Linked DNA regions of Drosophila melanogaster. The protein of the gene in region 3 interacts with the protein of the main gene of each other region in a pairwise test. Each region holds a gene or a part of one and is shown on either strand. Other genes may lie near its edges.

The links.
Region 1: the proteins of PIG-C (region 3) and CG13795 interact in a two-hybrid assay, tested with the Drosophila melanogaster proteins (one large-scale study listed by BioGRID).
Region 2: the proteins of PIG-C (region 3) and CG34166 interact in a two-hybrid assay, tested with the Drosophila melanogaster proteins (one large-scale study listed by BioGRID).
Region 4: the proteins of PIG-C (region 3) and CG13585 interact in a two-hybrid assay, tested with the Drosophila melanogaster proteins (one large-scale study listed by BioGRID).

What each region holds. Positions count from the first base shown.
Region 1 is NT_033779.5:7,722,540-7,727,917, reverse strand, and holds CG13795 (uncharacterized protein), read left to right. Parts: upstream 1-1,619; 5' UTR 1,620-1,822; coding exon 1,823-1,985; intron 1,986-2,251; coding exon 2,252-2,383; intron 2,384-2,444; coding exon 2,445-2,608; intron 2,609-2,668; coding exon 2,669-2,757; intron 2,758-2,873; coding exon 2,874-3,343; intron 3,344-3,400; coding exon 3,401-3,549; intron 3,550-3,616; coding exon 3,617-3,745; intron 3,746-3,814; coding exon 3,815-4,021; intron 4,022-4,080; coding exon 4,081-4,362; 3' UTR 4,363-4,873; downstream 4,874-5,378. Other genes in the region: CG13796 (uncharacterized protein), read left to right, coding at 1-89, 161-421; CG13794 (uncharacterized protein), read left to right, coding at 5,273-5,378.
Region 2 is NT_033779.5:14,741,275-14,744,400, forward strand, and holds CG34166 (uncharacterized protein), read left to right. Parts: upstream 1-1,918; 5' UTR 1,919-2,021; coding exon 2,022-2,033; intron 2,034-2,107; coding exon 2,108-2,344; 3' UTR 2,345-2,605; downstream 2,606-3,126. Other genes in the region: CG42586 (uncharacterized protein), read right to left, coding at 191-448, 516-527.
Region 3 is NT_037436.4:3,317,462-3,320,801, reverse strand, and holds PIG-C (phosphatidylinositol glycan anchor biosynthesis class C), read left to right. Parts: upstream 1-1,569; 5' UTR 1,570-1,609; coding exon 1,610-2,110; intron 2,111-2,212; coding exon 2,213-2,572; coding exon of another isoform or gene 2,573-2,650; 3' UTR 2,651-2,774; downstream 2,775-3,340. Other genes in the region: CG12016 (uncharacterized protein), read right to left, coding at 1-57; Dpm2 (Dolichyl-phosphate mannosyltransferase subunit 2), read right to left, coding at 151-287, 897-1,005.
Region 4 is NT_033778.4:24,529,745-24,533,893, forward strand, and holds CG13585 (uncharacterized protein), read left to right. Parts: upstream 1-1,849; 5' UTR 1,850-1,892; intron 1,893-1,900; exon of another isoform or gene 1,901-1,990; intron 1,991-2,367; exon of another isoform or gene 2,368-2,634; intron 2,635-2,695; 5' UTR 2,696-2,725; coding exon 2,726-2,797; intron 2,798-2,853; coding exon 2,854-2,899; intron 2,900-3,152; coding exon 3,153-3,367; 3' UTR 3,368-3,647; downstream 3,648-4,149. Other genes in the region: CG4622 (uncharacterized protein), read right to left, coding at 3,757-4,149.

The DNA.
Region 1 (5,378 bases), on a different chromosome or scaffold from region 3:
ACTTGCAGTTTATGTTAGGCAAAACGATCTCAAGTTTCAAAATTTTCTTTATACGCTTTGCCACGCCCATTTTTCTGGGACTGTGTCTGGTGAGTAGTGGTTATTATTATAAAATTATTTGTATATAGTTAATGACTGATATTATTGGAATTTCTTGCAGTTTCAACTAACCTATTTATTTACGCGTGATCGCATACACGATGTCCTGATTTATGTGAGTCAGGGCTTGATTCTCCTAACGGCCATATCTTATATGGTTTACAAGGTATGTCGGACGAATGGCGATTGGCGCCAGCGATTGCAACAGTGCCTCGCACCACATGACTGGCATCCGGTGGATGCGGACAACCGGCGATTCTACGAGGAAATCATGGGCATCTCGGAGATGCTGGTTATAGATGCCAATGCCAACACCACATAGTGCCTAAATATCGAATACTCCCTAGATCAAAACTCAATACTTACAGCGTCGTCACTTGACAAATGAACTGAACTGAACTCACTTTTATTATACACCCATATGCGGTCACATTCACACATGCAAAAAATACAATAACAAACACGCACACTAGTATATAAATAAGCGGATCCATTGGCAATGGCGATTGTTAGTTGTTGTAATGAAGTTGTACTGATATTTTCCAAAAGCTAGCTATAGTGAACAATATACTGGTGATATTTAGTAGTTTCCTACTAAAATGTTCAACAAGCTTCGGCCAAAAATATTGTTATGAACTAATAAAATTTTACCTTTTAGGCATTGAAAATGTTGAAGTCTTTTTTTGAAGTTGGTAAACGTATAAGGAAAAGAGTTAAATTTATGATATACGGCTGTCAGCACTTTAAACTATTTAATGTCGCACTAATAATAATAATAATTTTGGAATTTTAGTTATAGAATATATGACGTTTAGAGTAGATTGTTAGAAGCATGTTTTTAAATGCATGCAAAATAATAATAGTTTGAAAAATATATGAGGTAATTGTATATTATTACCTAAAACTAATCGCTAATAACAAACAAACATAAGAAAAAACAAATATTAAGACATTATCAATGCGTTATTGAAATCAACAGCCAGGGCGTTATGGGGTTTACTTGCTTTTGCATTGCTGTCTGAGTTTTCCCCCAGATTTGATAACTTTGCGGCTGTCTTGTTTGTCATCCCATTTCCCGAGCACGACCATATCAGTTTCCAGTTCCAAAATCGAAATGAACTTGGCAATGCACGACGATAGGCGCACATAAGAGAGACAGGCACAGATATAAGAGCTCTAATAATCTGAATTTAAAGCAAAATAACAATAAATGCAAATTTATGGTCGAGATCGGAAATACACTTACAAAACGTGTAATAACAAATTTACAATTATTTTGATAACCGAAAGCTTGAAACTATAGATAACTCGCTTAGATATATATTTTCCTAGCATATCTTTATTTTGACAACAGATCTGTTTGAAATTAGAGGGAGGTTTCAAATGAATCTCGGTATAAAGATACCCCACTTCCATAGTAATAACTGTGTGATTAAAGACCAAGTGTGCATCGCCTAAGTTGGGGTATCTCATTCAAGAGGGATGAGCTAAACAGAGGCCTGCTGTCGGAATCGGATTCAGTTTGCCGGCATCGGTTCTACTAATTAGTCCGTCAATTTAGAGTAAAACGCTCGCGGATCGGTTGCAGAAAAAAAATATATATATACTAATATTACCTCTGCGGGAGTGTAAAATTAGATCGTAGTTATATATACTTATTTACAAAATTTGCTTAAATCCATTCTCGCCCACATTTTGGCGGTAATATTGTGGGTAGTTCAACATGGTATATGAAACATCGTATGATACCGGGCATAAACCCTTTTCCCCCGATCTGAATCGAGGAAAATGGGATAAGCCAACGGACTTTATGTTCGCCTGCTTTGGATTAGCCTTGAAGTTGGATGTCTTTGTGGCATCGTTTTGGATGTTCTTCGACATGGGCAGTAAGTAACGCAAGGGCGACTACGTATATTATATTGCTGATAAGGTTCGGATTTAGACTAATCTGTGGAGGGGCGGTGCTCTGCTAATGTTCTCTTACCTTCTCATCTGACATACATACAAAACAATGCCTAATTCTGTCGATATTTATGTATTTAATGTAATAATTGTGTCTCTTTATACAGCACAAGAGATAACAGTTTATACATCAGAATTTAATCTTTATCTTTGAATGCATTTATTTAAATACACTATTTGCTTGGACCAGTTCTTGGAATACTGCCGTACTTTGTATATATGTCCATTTACTTGGTTCCCATCATGGTCATTCACTCCTTCATGGGTCAGTTCTCCAGCAGTGGATTCATCTCCGCCTTTCGCCTGTCGCCTTTCTTTAAAGGTACGTACGTAACCGAGAAGTTTAAACAGATATTAAATATTGATCGAAATATCAATTTCAGGCATGGGATATGTGAGTGGATTTTTAACTATCTCCATGCTAATTTACTATAGCATTTTTGCTGCGGTTCCACTTCTGTTCATAATAAACTCATTTCGACCCACTTTACCTTGGAGCTGTGAGGGCTTGAGTTCTTGGCACAATGGAAGTGCAACGCTATCTAGTGTATGAAATTTGTGTATGACTAAATTGAATTGAAGACTAAGTACATTTTTTATATTTAAGTCTTGTAATAAGACACTGATCTTGGAGGACTTTTCGGAATACAACAGATCTCACCAGCTGCTCCATGTACCATCCGTGCTCTATTTTCAGTAAGTGCTCCTATTTATATAGCAATAAAACATTACCTAATTAATCCAATGCAAATATTTTAATATTATTTTAAGAATTGTTTAAAAATAATTTCTTTTTAACTCTATGTTTACAGAAATCACTATGATAGCATGCAACAGGATGCGGTTCCGGATTGGTATAAGGATTACGAGTTGTCTTGGCATTTTGTTGGCCTATTCGCAATCATTTGGGTTGTGATTGCATTTATTTTTTATAAATTCTCAGAGACGGCCAAGTTTGGAAAACTTATACGCTACATGGTGATTGTTACCCTGGTTCTTCTTTTAGTGTGCTTTGTGCGATTCCTGTTCCTTCCGGGAGCTCTTAACGGGCTCCACAGATATGTGACTCCAAAGGCAAGTGACATGGCCATGGGAGTAGTGTCCACATTCATCATGGTTCTTCATGCATTCGGAGCTGGTTGGGGCAGTGTAATAACTCTGTCCAGTTTCAACGGTTTCAAGACTGACATCATGTCGTATAGTTGGATTATTTCCTTTGGACAGATCTTCATTTATATCATGTTTGGCATGGTTTCCTTTATGCTGGAACACTACTTTAATGGTAATAGCACTTTATAGATTTGCAATATCTTTACTGTATTGAAGTTATCCCTTTCAGAACTATCCGATGTTGATGATAACGGACATGTTTTGAGCCATTGGCTGCTATATTTGTCAAGTGCTTCTGCCTTGTCCACAATGGCTTGGCCAAACCTATGGACTTTTATATACTATTCTATGCTTTTAATTGCTGCTCTAATTGTGATGGTGATGATAATCTACACAATTAATTTTTATTTTTCACGCTACTAAACTTAAATAATTTTATTTTCAGACGACGCAAATCTTCACGGTTTTGCAAAGTTTGTTTGATGAGTTCGAAGTACTTAGAGTGAGAAAACAAGAGGTGACCTTTGGGCTAATTGGAGGTATTGCACTCTGCTCCTTTTACTTTTGCACCAATGTAAGTACTTAAGTTTACACAAAAAAGATATATTATTAAGAAATATTTTAAACAATTTTCCGTTTCTAGCATGGCATTATTTTCTTTTCGGCCTTGGGTCTTGATGCCATTTTCTCACATAGTTTGCTGCACTTACTGCTCCTTTTGGTGGTTTTGTGGATCTATGGTCGCGAACGATTCCAGCGAGATATTGAGTTCATGTTGGGCCAGCCCTTTGCCTCCTGGAAGGTTTTCATACTCCGCTTTATAGCTCCAATAATTTTAGTCATTTGTCTGGTTAGTTAGTTAGTTAGTTGCTTGTTGCTTTGAATAATCATATTCTTTTAACTAACTAGCTCGCGGGAATTGCTCTGTCCATATCGGAGCACTCTTATTCCACAACAGTGGTCTTCGTGATGTCAATTGTCCTCGTGGTTTTGCCCATTCTGGCCATTCCTGGATATGGATTTTACTACCTCTACCAGAGCACGGGCACCTTTTGCGAACGCTTTAAACGCACCTGCCGACCCACCGATTGGTATCCGGTTGAGATGGAGCACCGCCAGCAGTACGAGGAAGCTGTGGACAACACGGAGATGACCCACCAACTCTTCGAGGTTACTGAGGAGGTCAACTAGTTACTGATGCACTTAGAAATGTACTAAATATAAATATATGAGTAATTTTAATGCGTATTTAAAAAAAGGTATGCATATATATACAATCATATTGTGAAAGGTGGAAATGCTACACTTATTGCACTATGCTTACAGCAATGGGTTTTACAGCGTTTATCTCACCTGAATCGATCAGGTTCACACGTGTGACTGTCCAGAGAAACGTAGATATCTCGGAAAAGTTAATAAAGTTGAGCTTAAAAAATCTGTGACGTCCACAATTATAATGCTTACATAGTTTGTCTATCGAGAGAGAGAGAGAGCTTTTAAAAACGTGTAATTATTAATGTAGTTATTGATTAATTATGGTTATAAGCAAAGTACTCTTATTGACGTCATGTTAGTGTATAGAAATGCCTTTTAATTTCAGAATGCCACTTCGGTGACTCACTACTTTTAGGAACGGTATTAGTTTCATTGAGATGTTTGTTTTAACATATCCAAATTAATATACATCATATTACATTAAATTATTAGGGATCTTCTTACTGTCTGTTTGAACTTGTTCACATTACATAGTATTACAAAGTAATACCGACTATTTATTCAAAAAATTATGCTTAACATTATTTCTTAAAAGTGTATTTGATGGCCGATCTAGTGTGAATGGTCCGGGATAGGCTATGAGCATCTCAGTCCAGTGGAATCAGCTACACTGCGGTTTATCAGCGGAATCGGATTTAGTTCGTCCGCATCGCTGCTACTAATTAGTTCGTCAATTTAAAACGCTCGCGAAATGTTTGTTGTTTGCCAAAGCTTTTAATAATAAGTACCTCCATCGGCGTGTGAAATTGGATATATTTCTTTTTATACAAAAGTTTTTCAAATTCCTTTGCTCACACAATTTACCGGGCTATACTAACGTCACAAAATGATATATGAAACATCGTATGATAGTGGGCACAAACCCTTTTCCCCCGACTTGAAGAGAGGAAAGTGGGATAAGCCCACCGACTATATATTTGCCTGCTTTGGAT
Region 2 (3,126 bases), on a different chromosome or scaffold from region 3:
CTTATGTTAAGTGTATTTATTTCTGGGCACTATTTAATAAATATAAATGAATAATAAATATAAATTTATTTTCATAAAACTCATAAATTTTCGAGAACGATAAAGTAAAAAATTCCAATTGTTTTTTTATCATAAAGGTGTCATATTTTTATTGAGGTATCTGCGTTAAGACGGTGCTATGAATTGGTTTTTACCAGCCTTGTTGCTGTTGCTGCTGCTGATCACCGAATCCACCTCCGAATCCACCTCCAAATCCTCCTTGCTGCTGCTGCTGCTGATCACCGAATCCACCTCCGAATCCACCGCCAAATCCTCCTTGCTGCTGCTGCTGATCACCAAATCCACCTCCAAATCCTCCTTGCTGCTGCTGCTGCTGATCACCGAATCCACCGCCGAATCCAAACTGAGGTAGGGCAGCGGCCGCGGCGAATAGGGCAATGAAGAGGATCTGTAACAATATTAAAATCAACTTAGTTCTTAAAGGTTTTTCTTTGAAGCGTATATGTAAAACGTACCAAAAACTTCATGGTGCTGATACTTCGGTTAGTCTTGCTAATGTGAATAAAATTTTTGGACGCCTCCGATCTTTTATACTCTCCTGCAATCTCATCATGTCGTCACGCGCCGAAGTATTATCAATGTTCTGACAAAATCAAGTACAATTAACCCAACAAAAATACGAAAAAAATTTCCAGACGTCTGGGAAATTAATATTTGAGCACTGTATCAATGCCTATGCTCAACGGGGGGAACCCTTCAACATCAATCTTATCTGGGAAGTCGAGCCTAATCTAATAAGTCCGCAACAGTTGCTAAGAAAAACTAAGGGCGACTTAGAAGAAGACGTTGTTTGAGATTACTTTAGATCATTTATGTTCCGTTTTCACGCATCACAAACGTGTTACGGCAACAAATGTTCTTGTTTGCTTTTCTGGGTTATCATTAGACTTTCGAAATGAGGAGGGATAATTAAGTATGAAATCCTTGTAATCATGGATTAATTTTTTATACATACGTATAATTATGTTATGTCTTTGAATTTTAGCGCTTAACAGGTTAGACCACTATAGTCGCATTCCTCGATTATCAGATACCCATTTCTTAGCTAATAGAAGAACTAAGATATTTACAAGACAAGACTAGATGAAATCAATGAAGAATCTAGAGTGTTGTTGGCACAGGTTCTGAAAGAATTGGAACTATTTAGAGGTCTGAATCTCATTCAGTTCATACAGACAGGCTTACAGACAGATGGCCAAACGAATACGGCTAGATAGACTCCGCTGGTGATGCTGGTGAAGAATATATATATTCTGTATAGGTAAAGGTTCGGCAACGCCTTCTTCGAACTCCCACAGACTTTTTAAAGAATTTGGTATACTCAATTACTCCACAAGTACCGTCTATAAAAACATAGAAATTATGTGTCTTAAAAAATTGTATTTATTAAACTAATAAGACTAGTTTATTTCTTTACATCCTTTTTTTTAAAGAAATATTATTTGTATTTTTTTTCGCTGTGTTTGGTTACATTCAAAAACATTTAAAATTTTCCAAACCAATTGTACTTTTTTTGAGAGCAAATTCAGCCTAAAAGAATACTGTTAAGCTTGTGAATTTAAATGCAGCGCTAAAAAGTCTTCGCCGTTTCTTATACTTTTTTTTTAGTGGCAATTGAAAAGCTTTTAATCGGTATATAGCTAATCAGCTCCAAAATAAGCAAAACAAATTAACAAGAAGAAAGATCAGGCTAAAGGTCCTCAACCCCTGATCAGAAATCAGCTCTGTTAATGCAGTGCTAGAATTTTGCTACCTCATCGCAGACGCTTAATCTAATAATCACAGCTTGGGGTATATAGATTTCGATAGGAAATAATAAGCAAAAAATAAGAAAATTTTGTTTTTATTACTTTGTTTTGGTGCAAATCGCTCCATTCGGCTTCCACCTGCTATAAAAGCCCTGCCATTTACATAGAATTAGTTAGAACGCTTTCGACAGTGTAAACAATCAATCTACCAAAATGAAATTCTTCGTAAGCTCTGCAAATTCCTTTCAAGGATTTTGGTGGGCTCGGAATTAAACATTGTTTTATTTCTCTTCTTTTAGATTGTTTTCTTCGCCTTGATCGCTGTGGTCTTTGCCGCTGGCTATGGACAACAGGGTGGACACGGCCAGGGTGGACGTGGTCAGCAAGGATTCGGACAAGGTGGAAATGGCCAACAAGGATTCGGACAGGGTGGACACGGCCAGCAAGGATTCGGACAGGGTGGACACGGCCAGCAAGGATTCGGCGGACAAGGAGGACATGGCCAGCAAGGATTCGGACACGGTGGACGTTACTAAAATACAGCCTTAATAAAATAATATTTTCCAAATTTAAAAACCCTTAAATTAGTTAAGTTTTTAATGTCGCAACACAAAATGTACAGAAATTACTATTTACAATAGCTAAAAAGCCGATGTATTTTCTTCTTTCACGTAAATTCTTGTAAGTTTAGTAAAGCAACAGTTAGAGTTGTTAAAATTTTACACAAGCAGCGGAGTTTTTCGTTTCCTATTATATTATATTATTATATTATAATATATTATATTATTGTATTTGTTATATAGCCACGAAATTTTTGGCAGTTTGTGGGCGTGTCTACAACAAATAACAAACGTGCGCTGCGTCTATGCCCCTGGAATCTGTATGCCTAAGCTCAACTTTTTAGCTTTTATAGTTCCTCTAATCTCGACGGACGGACAGGCAGGCGGACGAACGTGGACAGATCGAACGAGAACCTTCTCATGTTCAATAAGAGCAGTGTTCTCTGTCATTCAATTAGGTCTGGGAATTCATCGATGCATCAGCAAATTCTCTTGAAGAAACATTGCAAGGCTGCAAATATCAACTTCTAGTGAATACTGATGATAGGGAAATGTAATTACTCTCAACAAAATTTCGAGTACGACCATTTTTACGATCTATTTAGAAATATAAAAAAACATGCATATACGTTTGAGGTGAGGTCCTAAGTAAAAATATGTGTACCTTAAATGGTTATAATAAGTATTTTAAATGATTGTATTTGGTAGGGTATTTAATGATAAGGTGTAAGCTCCTTTAAATTTTCGCTATATAAGTG
Region 3 (3,340 bases):
CGTAGTTTTGCCACCACAGGTGACTCCCGAGATACCAATGACCAGCCACTGCGGCATCTTGTCCACGACTGACTATCGCTCTTCCTTGTTTTTCAGTGGAATCGTACGTTCGCGTTCGCACCGAGCAAGATAACCCCCCGGATAACCCCCTTAATCACGTTTCACTCTCAGGCTCCAGATGTGGTAAAAGGAGAACGCGGCGATGCCGCCGAGGAAGATCACCCCGAACACGGTGGGCACAATGAAAGCGTACTTCAGCGGTGGAAAGAACAGCCGAATGGGATTGCCTGTAAAAGTTTGTAAAGTATACTCATGTTCACAAGTGTTTCATTTGATAACAGGCCAGGAAAGAAAATACGTAAGTATATTGTTTTTATGATTACTCTTAATAGCAACAAATTAAAATTGTCACGGAACGGCAAAACTACGATCATGAAATATTTACGTATAAAGTGAAGAGCCAATATCCAGGCGGAAAAACTACCGAAAATAATTAGCTAAGTACACACCCAGATTTGGAACCACATAATACAGTGGTACCACTGGTTAAGCACGTTTTCGTTTTTATCGCTGATTGTACATGCCTAGACTCTACAATAGCTAACTAGTTTGACTGTGCACATATCGGGCGAATACTGTACTCCTATCATCACTAGTCGTCGGTGACCTTGACCCGAGCTTAGAGCATCGTACAGCCGCATTCCAGGTAACCCGTGTTAGGGTGGTCACCTCTGTAAAACACACGGGTTCATCCTCGTACACTGCCAACTATATATAATTGAACATCGTGACCAATTTACGCCGCGGCGTCACTTTAATTACTATACAAAAGCGCGAGATTATTCAATAAAACTTATGTATTAGCGGGTGAATAACGGAAGCCGTGGAAAACTCACCTTCATCGATGAGCATAAACGGGAGGACGGCCACCCAAAAGAAGTAATAGAAGAACACGGCGATTGCAGATATCAAAATGATTTTCCCGAGTTGCGCATTCGAAGCCATAAATAGCTATTCTCGGAAATTCTGGGGTTTCTCTGGCGAGAGAACACGCGACCGGCGATTTGTTTGTAAAACTGCTCATGGGGCGTTCTCCCCGGACGGACTGCTTCACTGTCCACTGATCGTTTACCCGCCGCACGAATCCCTAATGTTTTTTCGTAGCTGCCGATTTACTTTCGTGGCGTAATTGTAAACAAAACAAACAAGTGCGTCAAAAAATTTCCGAATTCAAGGTAGTGGTGGTTCAACCACTCGAACAAGTATCGATAGCTCGAGTAACTGTTTTGCGCAACACCAGCGGATGTTCTTATCGATGTAGGCGAGTCACTTCTGCTTGGGGATAATTTTCAGAATAAGATTTGTATATTATTAGCTTGCTGTAAAACCCCTTGTTTAGATAATGAACAGTTTATTAATATTTCAAATTAAACTATCATCATCGATATTTCAAGTGAAACATGCATCACTATGACAGTGTGACCAGCACTTACTTTCAATACTTTTCAGTGGATAAAACAATATCGATATGTCGATAGTAACTGATACTATCGAACGCTGATAACCCAGCACTAATAGAATTGTAAACAAACAATTTTTAAATTTAAGAATGGTAAAAAATGGGCAATCGAAACGGCAGCCATGGGTGAAGAACCTGTACTCCAACCGGGAATATCCGGACAACTACACGGATGCCAGCTTTCTGAAGGATCTGCGCACGAATCTACATTGTAGAATATACACGTTCGGCGAAGCAATTGCCGGTATTACAGTGCTTAATAATCAGATCTCCTGCATCACCGGCTTCCTAATACTCTACCAACTTATGCTCAGCGACAGCGTGTCGCCCACCACGATCCTGGTACCCAGTTGCGGGATCACAGGCATTGGATACCTGTGCTACCGAGGAAGGAGTCTCAGCTGGGCCCTGCTGGGCGAGGATTCCAAAACCCTGGTCACAGTGGTCCTCTTCGGCTACTTATTCTCACCGATGCTGCACACCCTAACGCAGGCCATCAGCACGGACACCATATACACAATGACCTTCTTTGTCCTTCTGGGCAACCTGATATTTGGACACTATGGATTGGATGTAGCCATGGTCTCTAAGGTAGGCAATATTTACGGCTATTGGTGTTGATTGTATATTGATCTTGACTCCACCTCAGAATCCTATATAATACAAATACTTCTTGTTCCATGTTAAGCGCAGGCCGTCTCGTTGAATGCCGCCATATTTGGAGCAATTTGCTTAGCCTCCCGCCTGCCGACTTCGTATCACGCCTTCGTGCTCCTTGTCGAGGCTGCCGTCTTTTTCGTCCTTTATCCCATAATGACGGAAGCGAATTGGCATGCTGGATTCATGTTGCCTATATTTGCAATATGCTGTATGGCGCTGTACTGTATATCGCGCCCGGTGCTCTATCTCTACGCCTCCACCACCATTTTCATCAACTTTGTCTGCCCGTTCATATTCGTGTGGCAGCAGCAGTACAAGTTCAACATTCACGGGCCCTGGGACGAGGCCATCGTGGAGGAGAACACCGAGGAGAACCTGGATGGGAACTTATAGCGCCAGCTGCGCTTCTCAGAACAGTTGCCGCCACGACTGGGTAGCGGCGACGTCGAGGAGCACTTCACTGATCGCTAAACCATTGCACGCTTATTTTTATAACTTTGTAAACTCATTCCAAGCCATTGATGTTAATCTTTTGTATCATGTTATATCTGTTAGTTTGTAAGTAGCGTTTTAATAAATTATACTTTTTGTGTTTAAAACCATAGCACTTTTAAATTTGTGTAATTTTTAGGGGACTTTCTTTTGGTCCTATGAATGGCTTTTTAAATAAATTGTTATCAACTTAAGGCAAAGGTTTTTCAATTGAAAGATAATGGAGTTAAATTAACAGGGTGAGTTTTTTGGCTTGGTTGTGTTTTACTCAGACTAAAAATAAATTTAGTTAAAGATTATTTATCGTCAGCGACTAAAACCCGTTTCGTAGATAACAATTAAACATTCGCATGAGCATACATTGAATATATTTGACCCTATCTAACGCAAATAAATTGAAGCAATTGCTTTAATAATAGACTATGGAATATGGATGAGTGACATCTGTATTAAGTGCACGCCCTTGGGTTTCCCAGAAGTTCCTAGTCTAACCAGAGATTTAATTATTTTAGTATTCTGCGTTTTACCTATCTATGTAATGCATGCTGTCCTGCAAGCTACTTCCACAGTTTCAGTAAGCATTCTTGAGAGATAAATAATCCAGATTACATCATATAGTATCGCTGTACGCAGCGCTCTATTTTCTGCAATTATTCATCCTATAAATAG
Region 4 (4,149 bases), on a different chromosome or scaffold from region 3:
TGATCCCGTGCTCCTGCAGGCGCCTCATGAACTCACTGGTCATCGCCAAGTACGGCAGACTGTTGGACACGCAGTAGGATTCGAGGGTAAAACCCACGGCCTGGCGAATCATGTTGAAGCGCGGCGTCTTCAGCAGGTACTGCTGCATCAGGATCAGCTCCAGGCGGTCCTCGTACAATATGTATATGTAGCTCTGATTGAGCCCATCCCGGTACGCCTTTAGCAGGGTGGCGTTCAAGCTCAAGCTGTTCCTGCGGAGCCGTTCGGGCAGGAAGGTTTTCGCCTTCATCTGACTTCTGTAGTACTCGTCGTGCAGACTGGGGTAGGGAGCCCTGGCCAGATCCTCCAGAGTGTTGTACTCCTCGTCGTACAGCCCGGATGTGAGGATGCTGGAGAGCGTGGCCAAGTAGACGTTGGTCAGTATAAAGCCTCCGATCGTTAGAATGCCATGGATGGCCACGTCCCTCCAGCCAGCAACTCTGATTTTCTGGTGGCAGTTGTATAGGATGTGGCTGAGGCTGTACAGCAAGCACTTTCCAATCTCGACTCGTGCTCCTCGCGCAGCCAGATGCAGCATTACGGTTCCGTACAAGACAGTCGAAATCACGACCGCCCAAAGGGTCCAGCCGAAGGGCTTGGAGTAGTACAGATAACTGGAAATCGGACGGGCGTGGGGAGCCATGAAGTACTCGCGGATAATCGAAAGTGGTGCTGTGTAGGCCACTTCCAAGCTGAAATCTTTGAAGTAGCAAACAATGTCGATCTTTTTTGTATGTAGCATTTCAGCAACGGCCAAGTATACATCATATTCCGGCAGATCGGGTATGGGTACACTCTCGATGGTGGCGTTATAGCGATAAGTCAGCTCCTTGACCGCTGTGAACAAATATCCTGCTCGCACCAAGCCACCCTGTTCGTTGGAGTACTCAAAGTCCCGAGGAGCTAATGTGCTTCGAAGTATGCGGACAGGAAAGCCTTGAAAGTTTCGAATTATCCTTGCGCGATCGAAATACTCGGACACATTTGATAGGCTGATCGGTTGAATGCTAGGATACGGTAGGTAGCTGTAGAGGCCCTTTCCGCTCATCAGAATTACATTTACGAATCCCTCCTTGAAGCAGTAGGTGTAGAGGTCCTGTTTCGGAAATCCTGGTTCCTCATTGCTCAGGAACACTATGTGCAGCTCATGGAGCTCGTCCAACAAGCGTGGCAGAAGACTGGCAACCAGTGGATTCAGATCTGAATCCATTACACTTACTATGATAAGGGTACTCTCTGTGAAGTTTCCCCGAATTCTAAGATCTCTAGCTTCCCTCGAGTTGGAGGAGAGTAAAATTCTCGGCGAGTCCAATTTGTGGAGTATCTCTGAGGTGGCGCAGCACTCAAAATCGATGAACACATTGAGCTCCGTTTGGAGAGCCAAATTGAGATCCTGGAGTACTTGGACTTGCATGGATTCCGAGTCAGAAGCCCCGACCAAGCACAGAAGAACTGACACCAGCAGAAAAGAAATCATTTTAATTACCATAAGGCAGCGGGAAAATGCTTTTATAGGCTGCGTAGAATGCCCACATGACAAGGCAAAAATATTTTCAGGTTGCATTTAAAAGGATAATGGATTAATTGCCATCCACCCCATCAAACCAAAGCTCAAGAAGACAAATGTCATATTACTCTTCCATTAACCTAGTGTATATTAGCAAATAACTCAAGTCATTTTAGCTGTTTGAGTTGCAGGATGAAGTAGATTCCAAATCAAACAGTTTTGAATTTCCCGCCCACTGAATGGAAACTTTCAAGCACTGGCAGCTCCACCGATATATGCCTCCAGTTCTGGTCGCTGTCCAGCACTACCATATGTGCACTTTTTATTCCCATTCCAATTCCAGTTGGTAAGAAAAGTGTAATTGTTACGTTGTGGCAGTGAAATTGTATCATAATTCTTTTACCATTCCAAATCGGAGCATATTAGAGTGTTAAGACCCGCAAGGTAACGACACTTAATTGCCAAACGCCCGCAGATGAGTTTGTTTACGCCCCCTTTGTGGCAACAAAAACAAAAGGGGAAAGTTGTGTTTACGTTTTCTAAAGCCAGATACCGTTTTCGGGGTGGTTTTGGTTCAATCGGGGAGTTTCCAACGGAAAGGCCTTGTAATTAAGTGTGATAAGGGCCCTCGCTCTCGCTGGCAATTAAAACTAGACGTCTTGTTTCTTCTGATAATCGTGTTTTTGAGTCAAATACCTACACACCAAGCAATCGGGTTTACGTGTGTGTATACACTAAGTGGGGCGGCATTGGGGTGGACCCTTTGCACAGTTGAATCCCTCTGCTCAACTGGCGTTAGCTGTCAAGTGTGTAAGTTATTTGCTCCCAGCTGCCCCAAAATTGAAGCTGTGCTCTGTGGGACCCAAGTGGCAGAACAACATAGTCCAGACATATAGGTACCAGTACATACGACCGACTCGCTCCGCACTCGCGATTTGAAAGCCCCTTTATCGGAACCATATGAGTATGCATGTATAAAACTCGATTGCGGCCGCAAATAAATTAGTCTCAGTTCGGTTCGTTTTGTTTGGAAACAGTTCTCTCGATCTCCGAACAGACACGTCAGTGTCAGTGGCAGCAGGCAAAATGTAGTATTTGCAATTCCACACTCAGTTTTCCCTATAGTATAACCTACTCCGATCTCCGCAGCGCAACTCAGACTAAGGCTAATCCGAAACCATGTCCGACGACTTCGATGGCTGCGAGTGCGTCTGGTCGCAGGAGTATGCGATGCAACGCCTCATCAACTTCGTAAGTTTCTGTGCGCGCAGCTCCCAGCTCATTTGATCAAGTGTACTTCCTTATAGATACGACAAAACCAGAATGCCTGCGGGGACAACGAGTGTTACGATGGTCAGTATCAATGTCTCACGTCTTTTTTTAAGTATGAAAACATTTAGATTTATAATACATTTTGCACAGCATGAAATCAGTAACAGTCTTTTACTCAAGTGAAGATTGTAACATTCATTTTTCGCATTTGCATTTTTAAAACAATTCAGTATAGACTAGGGTCATACGCGCTTAGTGATAAGTTGCCAAAAAGTATGCAGTGCTTCTACTTGCGGACTATAGTATAAACCATAACTAATCCATCCGTCCTCAGTCACCGGACGCACTCCGCACCAGGCGCAGATCGCCGGACGCGGCGATGACAGCGGCTTCTCCGTCGCCATGATCTTCCTGATCGTGGCCATGTTCATGTACATAGTGAACCCGAGTACCTGGGGCAACTTCACCAGCAACAAGCGAGCTGGCGGCCGACGCGACAATAACCAGGACGGCTCTCCGCCGCAGCCTCCTCCGCCGGCCATCAACTAGGCGACTCCGAGGACCCCTGCTTCTACGAAACCTGAGCATCCACAACACAATTTTCAGACCGCAATTCCTTGTTTTGTTAATTCTCCCACTATTGGGACAGAAACCACGGATAGAACCAAATCAATCGACTTGGTGGCATCCATTCGCACGTTTACACAGAACACAGATTAGGCAAATTATACACCTCTTACATTGTACAAAACACAAAACCGCGCACTCTGAAACACACCGGCTTATCAACTAACATATTTGGACACTTTTTAAAAGACTTTGGAAAACTAACCGCTTTCCTTGTGTATTTCCTTTGTACAAGAGGCTTTAAAATCTTTAAAATGTACATATGGTGGGCGGGAATTGATGTGGTTTGTATTGCCGTCTCCCTGGTCTCGTCAGTTCTCGTTCTGCAGTTTCACCATCTTTTCGCGTACGTTCTTTAGCAGATCCTTCATTTGTTCGTACTTTCCCGTGGAGTCGGGCAGGTTTTCAAAGTTGATCACATCGCTGACGCCCACCTTAAAGTTGCTGCCCACAGGCAGTCTGTCGTAAACGGAGAATTTCAGCAAAGGCGTGCCCTCATAAGACGCCTTAAAGGGAGTCGAGGGTGCTGATCGGGACTGCTCATTATTTCCGGACTCGGCAGCAGATGGACCAACCTCCGTCTCAGACGTGTCATCCAGGTCGGTTGGTGATTTCGATTCATTCGCTGTCGTGTTATGCGACGCATTAACATCCAGCTCTTGGAGGAGCTCCTCCTGCTGGGCCTTCAAATCTTCCAGGCTTGG